Linked DNA regions of Saccharomyces cerevisiae S288C. The gene in region 3 interacts genetically with the main gene of each other region. Each region holds a gene or a part of one and is shown on either strand. Other genes may lie near its edges.

Region 1 (3,606 bases), on a different chromosome or scaffold from region 3:
GTGGTAGCTGGAGCGAGAATCTGGCGATTTCCAGGTAAAGGTCACCGCAAGATGAATCCATGGTACCTAAGGATTTTACTCGCATCACTGGCCATTTTTTCACTGCTAACCGTACAATTTATGTACTCCAACTACTGGTACGATTGGCATAACTCAAGAACTCTGGCGTATTGCAACAATTTGTTTTTACTCAAAATATCGATGTCACTAATCAAGTACATCCCACAAGTGACGCATAACTCGACAAGAAAATCTATGGATTGTTTCCCCATTCAGGGTGTGTTTCTAGATGTCACTGGCGGTATCGCCTCGCTGCTCCAATTGATTTGGCAGTTGTCTAACGATCAAGGTTTCAGTCTGGATACGTTCGTGACAAATTTTGGAAAAGTGGGACTGTCAATGGTAACTTTAATATTCAACTTCATCTTTATCATGCAGTGGTTTGTATATCGATCTCGAGGCCATGATCTGGCGTCAGAGTACCCGCTGTAGCACACAAGGAGAAATCTGCATAATTACGCATATATATATATATATATATATACATAAATATACATAAATATATGTATGTATGTATGTATGTGTGTATGTATGTATGTACACACATGCATGGTTTAAATAGACAAACCTTGGTGGAATTTATACTTTTTTTTGGTGACGAGGACGTCCGTAAGAGCATCGTCGTCAACAAACCATGATACACGACCAGCAGCACCTTCGTTGACAATACTGCTAGGTAGGCCCTTTTCAGGCCTTTCCATAATGGTCTTGATGATGGGCGCCTTGGTTGCACCTTCGACAACGAAAGTAACCCTGTGAGAATGGCAGATTACAGGTATAGTCAGCGAAATTCTGGTCGAGGGCCCACTAGGAGCGTTCTCCACGGGCACCACCCATGCAAGTTTCTCACGTAGATTGTCCTGGAAGTTAGGGAAGAGTGATGCGATATGACCATCGGGGGCACAACCAAGCAGGAACAAGTCGAACATCGGAAGTTTGACGGAATCTCTACCGGCAAACCCGCGGATTAGCACCTTTTCATAGTTATCAGCGCATTCTTGCGGGTCGTCAATCAATGACTCGTCAATGTGGTACACCTTCGGAGTTCCATACTTCGCCGTGTCTATCAGGTCCAAAATCTTCCTTTTGGCGCATCCATAATTGCTTTCATTCGAGCTGAAGGGTACAAGTCTCTCGTCTGCAAAGTAAATGTCCCAGTCTCCCCACCGTACATCGTCTCGTTTTAGCAGACCTTCGTGTAGCACTTCGATCAATGACCCACCGGAGAGAGCAATCTTGAACCGTTTCTCCTTTTTGGGCTTACTGCTACCACTGCCACTACCACTGCTACCACTTTTCCCTTCCGCGGCAGATGCTGTGCTTTTGCAAGAGGCCTCTCTCGTCATATCCAGTGCATTCATGCTGATGTTGGGAACAGAGTGTTTCCTCTCGTTCTTTGGAGCCAATGCACCGTCTTGCGCGTGGACTACATGGTCAGCTACGGCCTCTGCCACGTCTGAAAACTCGTGAAACGCGAATATCTTGGGTACCGTCGTAGTCATATTGTCTTGCTGCAAATTGCTTTCTGTTCTAGTCCATACCTACACTGGATATGACGATGATGATGCCACTATTATCATTGAAATTTGTTAGGAAAACCCCTGTAGCGCCCGCCCTATTTAAACCTAATTTCCCCAGGATGTCTAATCACATTTTCTTCATTTTTTGGAAACTAGACCTTAACATATTTCGTATTAACCCTATGTCTCGAATTGAAAATTTCGCGGGTCTTTTCTCTTGCCTTGGTACCTTATGTAAAAAAGCGATGCCAGGAACAATAGGATAAAAATAGCAGCAACAACATACGATAAGAATTGAGGATGCTAAGCTAATGTTGTTTTACTTAGGGTGGCTATAAAAGGTAGTTCCTTGTAGGTGAAAATGATGATGGATATACTGAATACACAGCAACAAAAAGCGGCTGAAGGCGGGAGAGTTCTGGCTCCTCATACCATCTCAAGTAAGCTCGTGAAGAGATTATCAAGTCATTCCAGCCATAAACTATCAAGATCTGATTTGAAAGCATTGGGTGGCTCGGAAACAATAAGCGACGGCCCCAGTCAGCTGACTTTTAAGGACCGATACGTTTTCAATGAATCGCTATACTTGAAAAAGCTAAAAAAGACCGCTTTAGATGACTACTACACGAGGGGCATAAAACTCACTAACCGCTACGAGGAAGACGACGGTGATGACGAAATTATTCGGTTGTCTAATGGCGACAGAATTGATGAAGACCTGCACTCAGGTGTCAAGTTTTTCTCCACTACACCTTATTGCAGGAAAATGAGGTCAGACAGTGATGAACTAGCTTGGAATGAAATTGCGACCGAACGGTTCAAATGGCAGTCAATGCTGGCCAGAGTGCTGAAGGGAGATATTGTTAAAGGTGAAAAGACGAGGATTGCTAACCAAGTCAAGAAACCAGGGTTAAATAAGGAGCTCTCAGATGAGATATGGCTCGAATTGAAGGCATGGCTGAATGGGAGGACCATGCAAGAGATGGAACAGTCGCTTACATATTTAAGAGATAGTTCAGATTCCGTTTTTGAAGAGATAATGAAGTTTCAAATTCCACAGGGCAAGATATTGAGCCTGGATGCACTGGAGGCCATCTTACAAGACCTCATGAACAGATATCACAGCGTTGTCTCTTATTGGCCTAACTTGAAAAAAATGTATAAGGATAAACCAATCACCAATACTGCAGAATTTACCGCTAGAATAGACGTAATGAATTCTTGGCTGAACTTTAAAACGAACTTAACGTTGAGGAGGCAAGAGTTGGACGACTGGATAAACCGTTTCTCACCGATAAGTAGTTCGGATAATTGCCAAGAGGATTTTGATGGTGTGCCCCAATGGAACTGCAAAATGAAGATTCTTGCAGAACAATTGATGAAGGAAAAGAACATCGAGTCTATATTCCAAAAAAAAATTTTCTATCCGCTATCACCTTGGATGTTCAAACTGAAACTACATTTTATAGTCTACAGAGAAACTTTGACAAAGATGAACATAAAATATCCTTATGAAAGGTTAAGATCACTACTGGCGTTCCCCGTCTATTTAATCAAAGAAGTTATTTTGACTAGATTGTCATATGCACGAAAGCTTAAAAATCCAACAATGATGATGATCGATCAAATGATCGATGATTTTAACGCTTTTATTCGACTTTCTGTGCAATTGAAGTACACACTGACAAAATATTGCTCCAATTTGCCGTTCGATGTGGATTTTGACCCGACGTTCGAAAATACTGTAATAGAAGCCATTCGTTATTTATTTTTTCTGTTGAATTTAAAGTTGATTGATTCCAGTAAACAAAATTTCAAAGCACCCGATCTACTCTTGAAATACTGGGATCACCTAAAAAACACCGGTCACTATATTAACGGTGCAGAAACCGTGATTCCAAATGAATTTCTCAAGTTAACTTTGAGACTCGTACATAAATTGCAATTCTATCTTTTGAAACAACAAAACTTCCCACCAACATTTGCTAACGCTTCAGAAGCAGAAAAATGGCTAAGTTCCATTTTC
Region 2 (3,758 bases), on a different chromosome or scaffold from region 3:
GACCTATTAATTGCACCTGACTGACGCCTTTCACTTTAAAGCAGTATTAATATATCTTCTCGTGTCGTTTAGCTGAACCTTTAAGTTGTCAAAATGATACATTATTTATCAGACAATGGAAGAAAAAAAGGGCGCATAGGCCCTAAAACAACACTAGGGTCATAATAGATGTATGGGTCTTACAACTCGTATTTGGTGCAGAAGCCAAGCCAATTGCGGCCTACACAGGTAGATGAAGAGGTAGTAGTAGCAGTGGTGCGAGTCGTCGTGGTTGGTGCAGCGTGGCTTTTAGTCTTGGTAATGAGCCTCGATGAGGATTCCCAGTCTCTGCTTGGAATAAACTTCCAGTTGTAGCAATCTACGCAGGGCTCTGGTTCAACGCACTTGGCAGCCTGCTCGTATCCAAGGAGAACTTCGTCAATGACTTTGTGGATTCTGTGGTTGAACATGTTTACACTCCAGCCCTTGTCGTTGACCACATCGTAGACACAGACTCTACCAGTGTGGCACGCGGTTTCCATAGCGTAGCCCACCAGTGAGCAACTTGAACTAGCTCCGTTGCATGTACCCATGAAGATTGGGTCTGCGTTGTGACCGAAGTGCCAGATACCCTCCATGTATGAGGGAAGTCCCGGTGGGAATGGTAAGTGAAGTCTTTTTGAAGGTAGTAGCTCTCCAGGGGACTCGAATGCGACCGCAGGCAATCCAAAAGTGCGGCCCAGTAAACTGGCCAATGCGCCTCCCAGTGAGTGGCCTGTGACCCATATGGCCGCATCGGGGTATTCTTTGAGGACGCCTTTGTATATGTCAACGACTGCAGAGTAAAATCTATCCTTACGTCTCAGTTCCTTTTCCAGGCAAGACTCATCGCATATATACGACTTCACATAGCAATCGCACACGGTAGTCCACAGGTAGCTCACTCTTGCACAACAACACGAAAATAACAAATTATCGTTGATCTTGTCGTTTCCAGTTGTCTCATCTTCGCCAGACCCTGGCAAACCCTGAGCGCTGGTTCCCTTTATCGAGAGTACCACGATATTCTCCACTTCATTGTAAAAGACGTGACCACGTATACCATCACCATCCCAACCAAAATCTTCCGGCTCTGTTTCATTCCACGGCTCCGTGACGTTACGCCAGTCTCCCGTTTGCGGTATTCTCACGTAAGCATTAGACGACATTAATGCTAACGACACTACTGTACCTCTATCTGTGATATTGGGTGCCACAATGTCATCATCTATCCACATGGCGTGTTCTTCCTCCTCCGTCATGTATGTTTCTCCGTAAATGTACGACTCTATGAATTCAGGATCTCTTTCCTTCATCCGCTTCATCAATAGCGGCATCCTTCGTAGCTCAAACTCAAAATCGAATGGGTTAGTGGTGGCATATTCGGCATTAGTAGTCCATAGGGGTTCTTGGTCTTCGAAATCCTGTCCTTGAGTTGTGGTTTCTTGATACAGCATTCCAGCGGCAGAAATAACTTCTGGAGTGACCTCCAGCCTCTGGTGTAGCCGATGGTTTGCTCCGACGCCATGCCTGTAGATAGACTTAAGTCTAAAGGTTCCATCAGATTTTTGATCCATGGCACCCCTGGATGAGCTCTTCCCTACCGATAAATAATCCGGTAAAGCAAAGTAGTAAGCAATAAGGCAGAGCACTGTAAGCGTTAGAATGCATCCTAGATGCAAAGGAGAAGCAAATCTCTTTCTTGAAGGGCTTTTATGCAACATTCAATAGAATATTTCCCTTGTTTCCTTTAATTGTAATGCCTAGATCAGTTCTCAATCACGATAACAATTTTCTGAGCAGCGGCGTACTTTCTTTGACTTATCCAAAAGGTTGACACTGATTTGAGTGTCTCAAAAGCCTTTAAATGATAGAAACAAGGCTTTTAGGCTAGTCTTATGTAATAGAGAAAGTTCATCTATATCTACAGATTCTTATTATGTACTGTTGAACAAAGGTGCGGGTAACTGCGATCACACAATCACTTTTTTCCGGAAACGGCTGTCTTCAGCGAACAACAATATAGTAGAGATACTGTATTCAACTGGAAATGCTTTCCCTTTTGCCCTATCATTATTTTCTTTCCGATGTTATGCTTATTATATCTGTGATTGATAAGAGAAAAAAAAAAAAGTGACAGCTATAGAGAAAAAAAAAAACCCTTAGAGAATCCTACCTGGAATATATTTAATGAGCAAGTCTATCTGCTGCACATTGGTCACGACACATGTTAGTGTATATGGCCCAGCCTATGTATTTACGATTTAAATCACCTTGATAATTATTAAACGATATCCAGTTTATTTCGTATTATGTTACATCTGTCAAGCCCTTACTTAGCAATTTTGAGCCCTAGTATTTTTGACCACATTTGTAACTGCCCTATTTTATTATCCTTTTAGCCCTCCTGTCCTTTTTTCTTGGTTGTAGTAATTTTCATTTATATCTCGAGAATTGTACAGTGTAAATGAGAACTGTGAACGCTTCAAGTAACCTACGCTTATAGCTGCTTCGATCGACGGAGGCTGTTTGTCAACAAGCATCACAATTCCCTACGATACGTCCTCTCTTCCTTTTTTTTCTCTCCTTTTAAACTTAGAAAAACTAGCATAATAATGAGTGGCAACTCTGCAAACTATGACGTCGGATATCCGATATATGGTGCTAAATTTATAAATGAAGGCACTCTACTGGTGGCTGGTGGTGGAGGCCAGTTCAATTCCTCGTTTCCAAACAAAATTACAGCTTTAAAGGTGAACTTCCAGAAAAAGAAACACATTAGAAGGTTTCGTGAGATCACATTAGATTCGATTGACGATGCGCCCACTTCATTGGATTGTAATAATAACCTGATTCTAGTTGGTTGCAATGAACTGTTTAATGATTCCTCCATGGAGAACGTTAACCACCACTTGAGGAAGTTTGTGTTTGAACAAGAACATCTAAAATTCGTGGCCAGTATTGATTTCAACAGAACTACAGACCCATCCGTTTTCACTAAGTTTGTTTACATTAATCAAAGGGCCACAGTAGCTGCAATTGCGTCCTCTGAAGTGCCCACTGTGATAAGAATCATTGACCCGCGTAATTTGACGGAAAATTACGAAATTGAAACGGGTAGGGAAGTTAATGATTTGCACTTCGCCCCTAACGGTATTCTTTTGTCATATATCACTTCTAATTCTTTGGAAGTAGCGTCTGTTAGGGACGGAAATTTTGTAGCAAGGAAAACGGATTTTGATAAAAATCTTGTTCTTTCTAATATCAGGTTTCTCAATGACAATACGCTATTAGTGGCAGCATCATTATCGAACTCTGATGGAGTTTCCTTGTTAAAACTAGGTGTGAGTTCCAAAGGTGTTAAAATTTTAAAAACAGCATCCTTCATGTTCGATTTGAATGGAATAACATCGATGGATGTCTCCCCAAATAAGAAGTTCGTTGCATTATCATCTAACGATAACTTGGTTGCCATCGTCAGCGTTGAAAAGCTAAAGCTTGTTCAGTTGGTTCCAAGAGTACATGAATCTACTATAACAAAAGTTACTTTTTCTCCAGATTCTAGATATTTGGCAAGCACTTCTATGGGGAACACGATCAACGTTCTGAAGCTTTCCGGTACATCGTCATCAATTTTACGAAATATTTGGAAATTTTTCTTGAATTTTGTTTTGTTAGTGGTTTTGGCTGGCGCTATTCAACTAGGCTACAAACATAATGTGCACGGCTTTATTTACAAA
Region 3 (3,429 bases):
CTTATTGCATGAATTACAACTCACTTCTTGTTTGTTCGCCACTTTTTCAAAAGCTACTACGAAAGTGAGAGGATGAAAAAAAATAGAAAAGTGAAAAATCATTTTGAACGCCAAGCAGGGTAACAAATTATTTTAAGATGGCCGCTATTTTGTCAACTCAGAATTATTTGGGATTATGCTTTTAAAACAGAGAAACCTCAATTATAGTGCAGTTATGAAATGCTATATGCTATGTTCAGCCTATAAACTCATAGTAGCAGCTCGAAGTAGCATTTTTTTAAATTCTTCACCATTTGGACAACTTTATTTCATTCTTTTATGTATACTTTCTTTCCTTAATAGCCGATACAGCATGTTTAACCATGCCGACGATTATGCGGCGGGTTGGAGAGGAAGTCACAAGAAGGAACTATATTATTTATTTTTTTCTGTTTCCTAGAATGCATACATATGCGTAAATATATATGGCGATTTTTGTGTTTCGTCGCCTGAACTTTGTTTTGTGTCTATGAAAAATTAGGTACCTTCATAGACTACCATTATGGTAAAATGGAAAAACTATTCTAATCCAATTCAGTTGTCTCATCTAGAATATCCTCCATAAAATCATAATCATTCGGGAACTCAGTGCTGGTAAAATTTTGTTCGAAAGACGATGATTGTTGTGAAGACTTCTGATAAGCAGCTCCATTCTTTGTAGATTCACGGTCACCGTTTTGATAGCGATTTTTGTCGCCTTGGGGTTGCTCCGTTACAAAGGGTCTCAATCTCGTTAGAATGAGATTTTGTAGGAAATCAGAAACTTTTGCTAAGTAGAATGTTCTTGGAAATTCGTACCTTTTTGTTACAGATATTAAAATCTGAGTTAATTTACCGAATAAGAATTTGTCATTGGTGTCATCTGCAAACCAAATGTTATAAATTGAAGAAAACAGTAAATAACTGTTAAAATTCGGTTCTGTTATCTTATTAAGGAATCCGGTAAGCTTGTTTTGAGATTCCATAAAGGCAATGAAGTCATATACCAGCTCTCTTGTCAAGCAAATACTTCCAAACGACATAAGTAAAGAGGTAAATGGTAAGAAATTCAGAAAGGCATCAATAGGAGTATAGAGGTAAATAAAATGTATGAACTCGTAAAGACTCCAATATTTTAACAGTGATTTATAAATGGTGATGACAACTGGGGACTGACCCAAAGAAGTAGCGGTTTTAGCAGCACTTGCCTTTGAGAAGTCAACGGAAGACGTCAGATAGACCACTTCTAATGTCAGCTGCAAAGGAATGGCAACTGAGGTAAGCAAAAATAAGGGCCATAAAATTAAATTAAACATTAGTTTTCTATGGTGGAGTGAAGCACAGCAGAAAGAACGTTAGGAACCTTAGCTAAAAGATAGAAAAAAAGAGCACTACAAAAATCTTATCCTCGATTTGAAATACTAATGTCGAGCCAGATCAAATTAAATGAAATCGAAATGATATAACGTTGCTCTTGCACGTGTATTTCGCTGCTTAGGAAAGTTGTTTCCACATATTATCTTTTGTACGATTTTAAACAGTAAAATCGATGCATATTAAGGGAGGCCCAATACCCGCGGGCAGTAACCGCATCTTTGGAAATACCGGGTAATAATAAATGCCCGGGAAAAAAGAGCATAAAACAGAGAGGCGATATAGGAATGAATATGTGCTATTTACGGAAGGGAAAAACACTTATTGTTTTTCTGAAATGTGACACAGTAAAGTCCGTCATATACGGTTCTCCGTTGGGCGCTACCACACACATATATATAAGCCTGAATGCAGTAGACAAATTTCAGATATCATACAAAGGAAGCGTTCTCTGGGACCCCTTTCTATGTTTAGATGGTTCACTGAACTTGTTCGTTAACGTAAATATGTCTTCCTCTTTGATTCCAACAATGATATTATAAGGAAATTATCGTCACAATCTAATCAACAAGGACAAAGAAAAGAAAAAGTTGAGAGAGAGAACAAAAGTTCAAATCAAAGAAAAAAAAGAACATCAAATTACCTATTACAATAAACAATTAAGCCATACTCGCAACAATTTGCCATAATAGAAAGCAGCACCTCGTTGGCGCAGTCCCTTACATAGTACACAACATTTATCACTTCACACAATCAGGAGTGGAACTCAATGGAAAACAACACCACACGTATGATCTTACTAATAAAAGAACATGAACGTTCCTCAGCGCGAACGTTCGCATTCTGCGCCTTCGAGCACAGGATAAGTTGCAGGAAGCCATCACATCTATGCAACGATTATCACGACACAACCTTGCCGCCGAGAAAACGTCCGTGGAGAACCATTCGGTCGATTGCTTCCCACGGAACGAGTGGACTGAAACTTAAGACTGCCCCTCTCTTTCCGCGGAATCGCTCATGCCGCGGTGCCACAACATTTTCAGATTTACTAAGACTCCGGTGAGTGTGGGCTCACCCGCGGGTCGTGATCACGATTCAGCACCCTTTGGACTCGTGATTCCGTGGAAAGGTCAGATCTGTATTCCTACTTATGGTAATGTGCTAAAAAAAGAGAAATGTCTCCGCGGAACTCTTCTACGCCGTGGTACGATATCTGTTGAACGTAATCTGAGCAATACAAACAAGGCCTCTCCTATACATATATAATTGTGATGTGCATAACCTTATGGCTGTTCGCTTTTATTATCATACCTTAGAATGAAATCCAAAAGAAAAAAGTCACGCAAAGTTGCAAACATATAACAACTGTGTTAGTTATCACTCGACTTTGTTATTCTAATTATAAATAAATTGGCAACTAGGAACTTTCGAAAAAGAAATTAAAGACCCTTTTAAGTTTTCGTATCCGCTCGTTCGAAAGACTTTAGACAAAAATGCCCGAGGCCAAGCTTAACAATAACGTCAACGACGTTACTAGCTACTCCTCCGCGTCTTCTTCTACTGAAAACGCTGCTGATCTACACAATTATAATGGGTTCGATGAGCATACAGAAGCTCGAATCCAAAAACTGGCAAGGACTCTGACCGCACAGAGTATGCAAAACTCCACTCAATCGGCACCCAACAAAAGTGATGCTCAGTCTATATTTTCTAGCGGTGTGGAAGGTGTAAACCCGATATTCTCTGATCCTGAAGCTCCAGGCTATGACCCAAAATTGGACCCCAACTCCGAAAATTTTTCTAGTGCCGCCTGGGTTAAGAATATGGCTCACCTAAGTGCGGCAGACCCTGACTTTTATAAGCCTTATTCCTTAGGTTGCGCTTGGAAGAACTTAAGTGCTTCTGGTGCTTCCGCAGATGTCGCCTATCAGTCAACTGTGGTTAATATTCCATACAAAATCCTAAAAAGTGGGCTGAGAAAGTTTCAACGTTCTAAAGAAACCAATACTTTCCAAATCTTGAAACCAATGGATGGTT

What was found.
Region 1: mutations in ATG40 (region 3) and SOL2 together harm fitness more than expected from each alone (negative genetic interaction), as found in Saccharomyces cerevisiae (one large-scale study listed by BioGRID).
Region 2: of ATG40 (region 3) and ATG15, changing one suppresses a phenotype caused by changing the other (phenotypic suppression), as found in Saccharomyces cerevisiae (one study listed by BioGRID).

Annotation. Positions count from the first base shown.
Region 1 is NC_001135.5:244,919-248,524, reverse strand, and holds SOL2 (Sol2p), read right to left. Parts: upstream 1,563-3,606; coding exon 615-1,562; downstream 1-614. Other genes in the region: cystinosin-like protein ERS1, read left to right, coding at 1-492; mitogen-activated protein kinase kinase kinase SSK22, read left to right, coding at 1,942-3,606. UniProt on the Saccharomyces cerevisiae protein: May be involved in regulation of tRNA subcellular distribution.
Region 2 is NC_001135.5:235,198-238,955, reverse strand, and holds ATG15 (triglyceride lipase ATG15), read right to left. Parts: upstream 1,743-3,758; coding exon 180-1,742; downstream 1-179. Other genes in the region: GTPase-activating protein SED4, read left to right, coding at 2,634-3,758. UniProt on the Saccharomyces cerevisiae protein: Lipase which is essential for lysis of subvacuolar cytoplasm to vacuole targeted bodies and intravacuolar autophagic bodies. Involved in the lysis of intravacuolar multivesicular body (MVB) vesicles.
Region 3 is NC_001147.6:616,955-620,383, forward strand, and holds ATG40 (Atg40p), read right to left. Parts: upstream 1,335-3,429; coding exon 564-1,334; downstream 1-563. Other genes in the region: ATP-binding cassette multidrug transporter PDR5, read left to right, coding at 2,886-3,429. UniProt on the Saccharomyces cerevisiae protein: Acts as a receptor for reticulophagy. Directs autophagic sequestration of folded tubules/sheets derived from the cortical endoplasmic reticulum (cER) and the cytoplasmic endoplasmic reticulum (cytoER) into autophagosomes.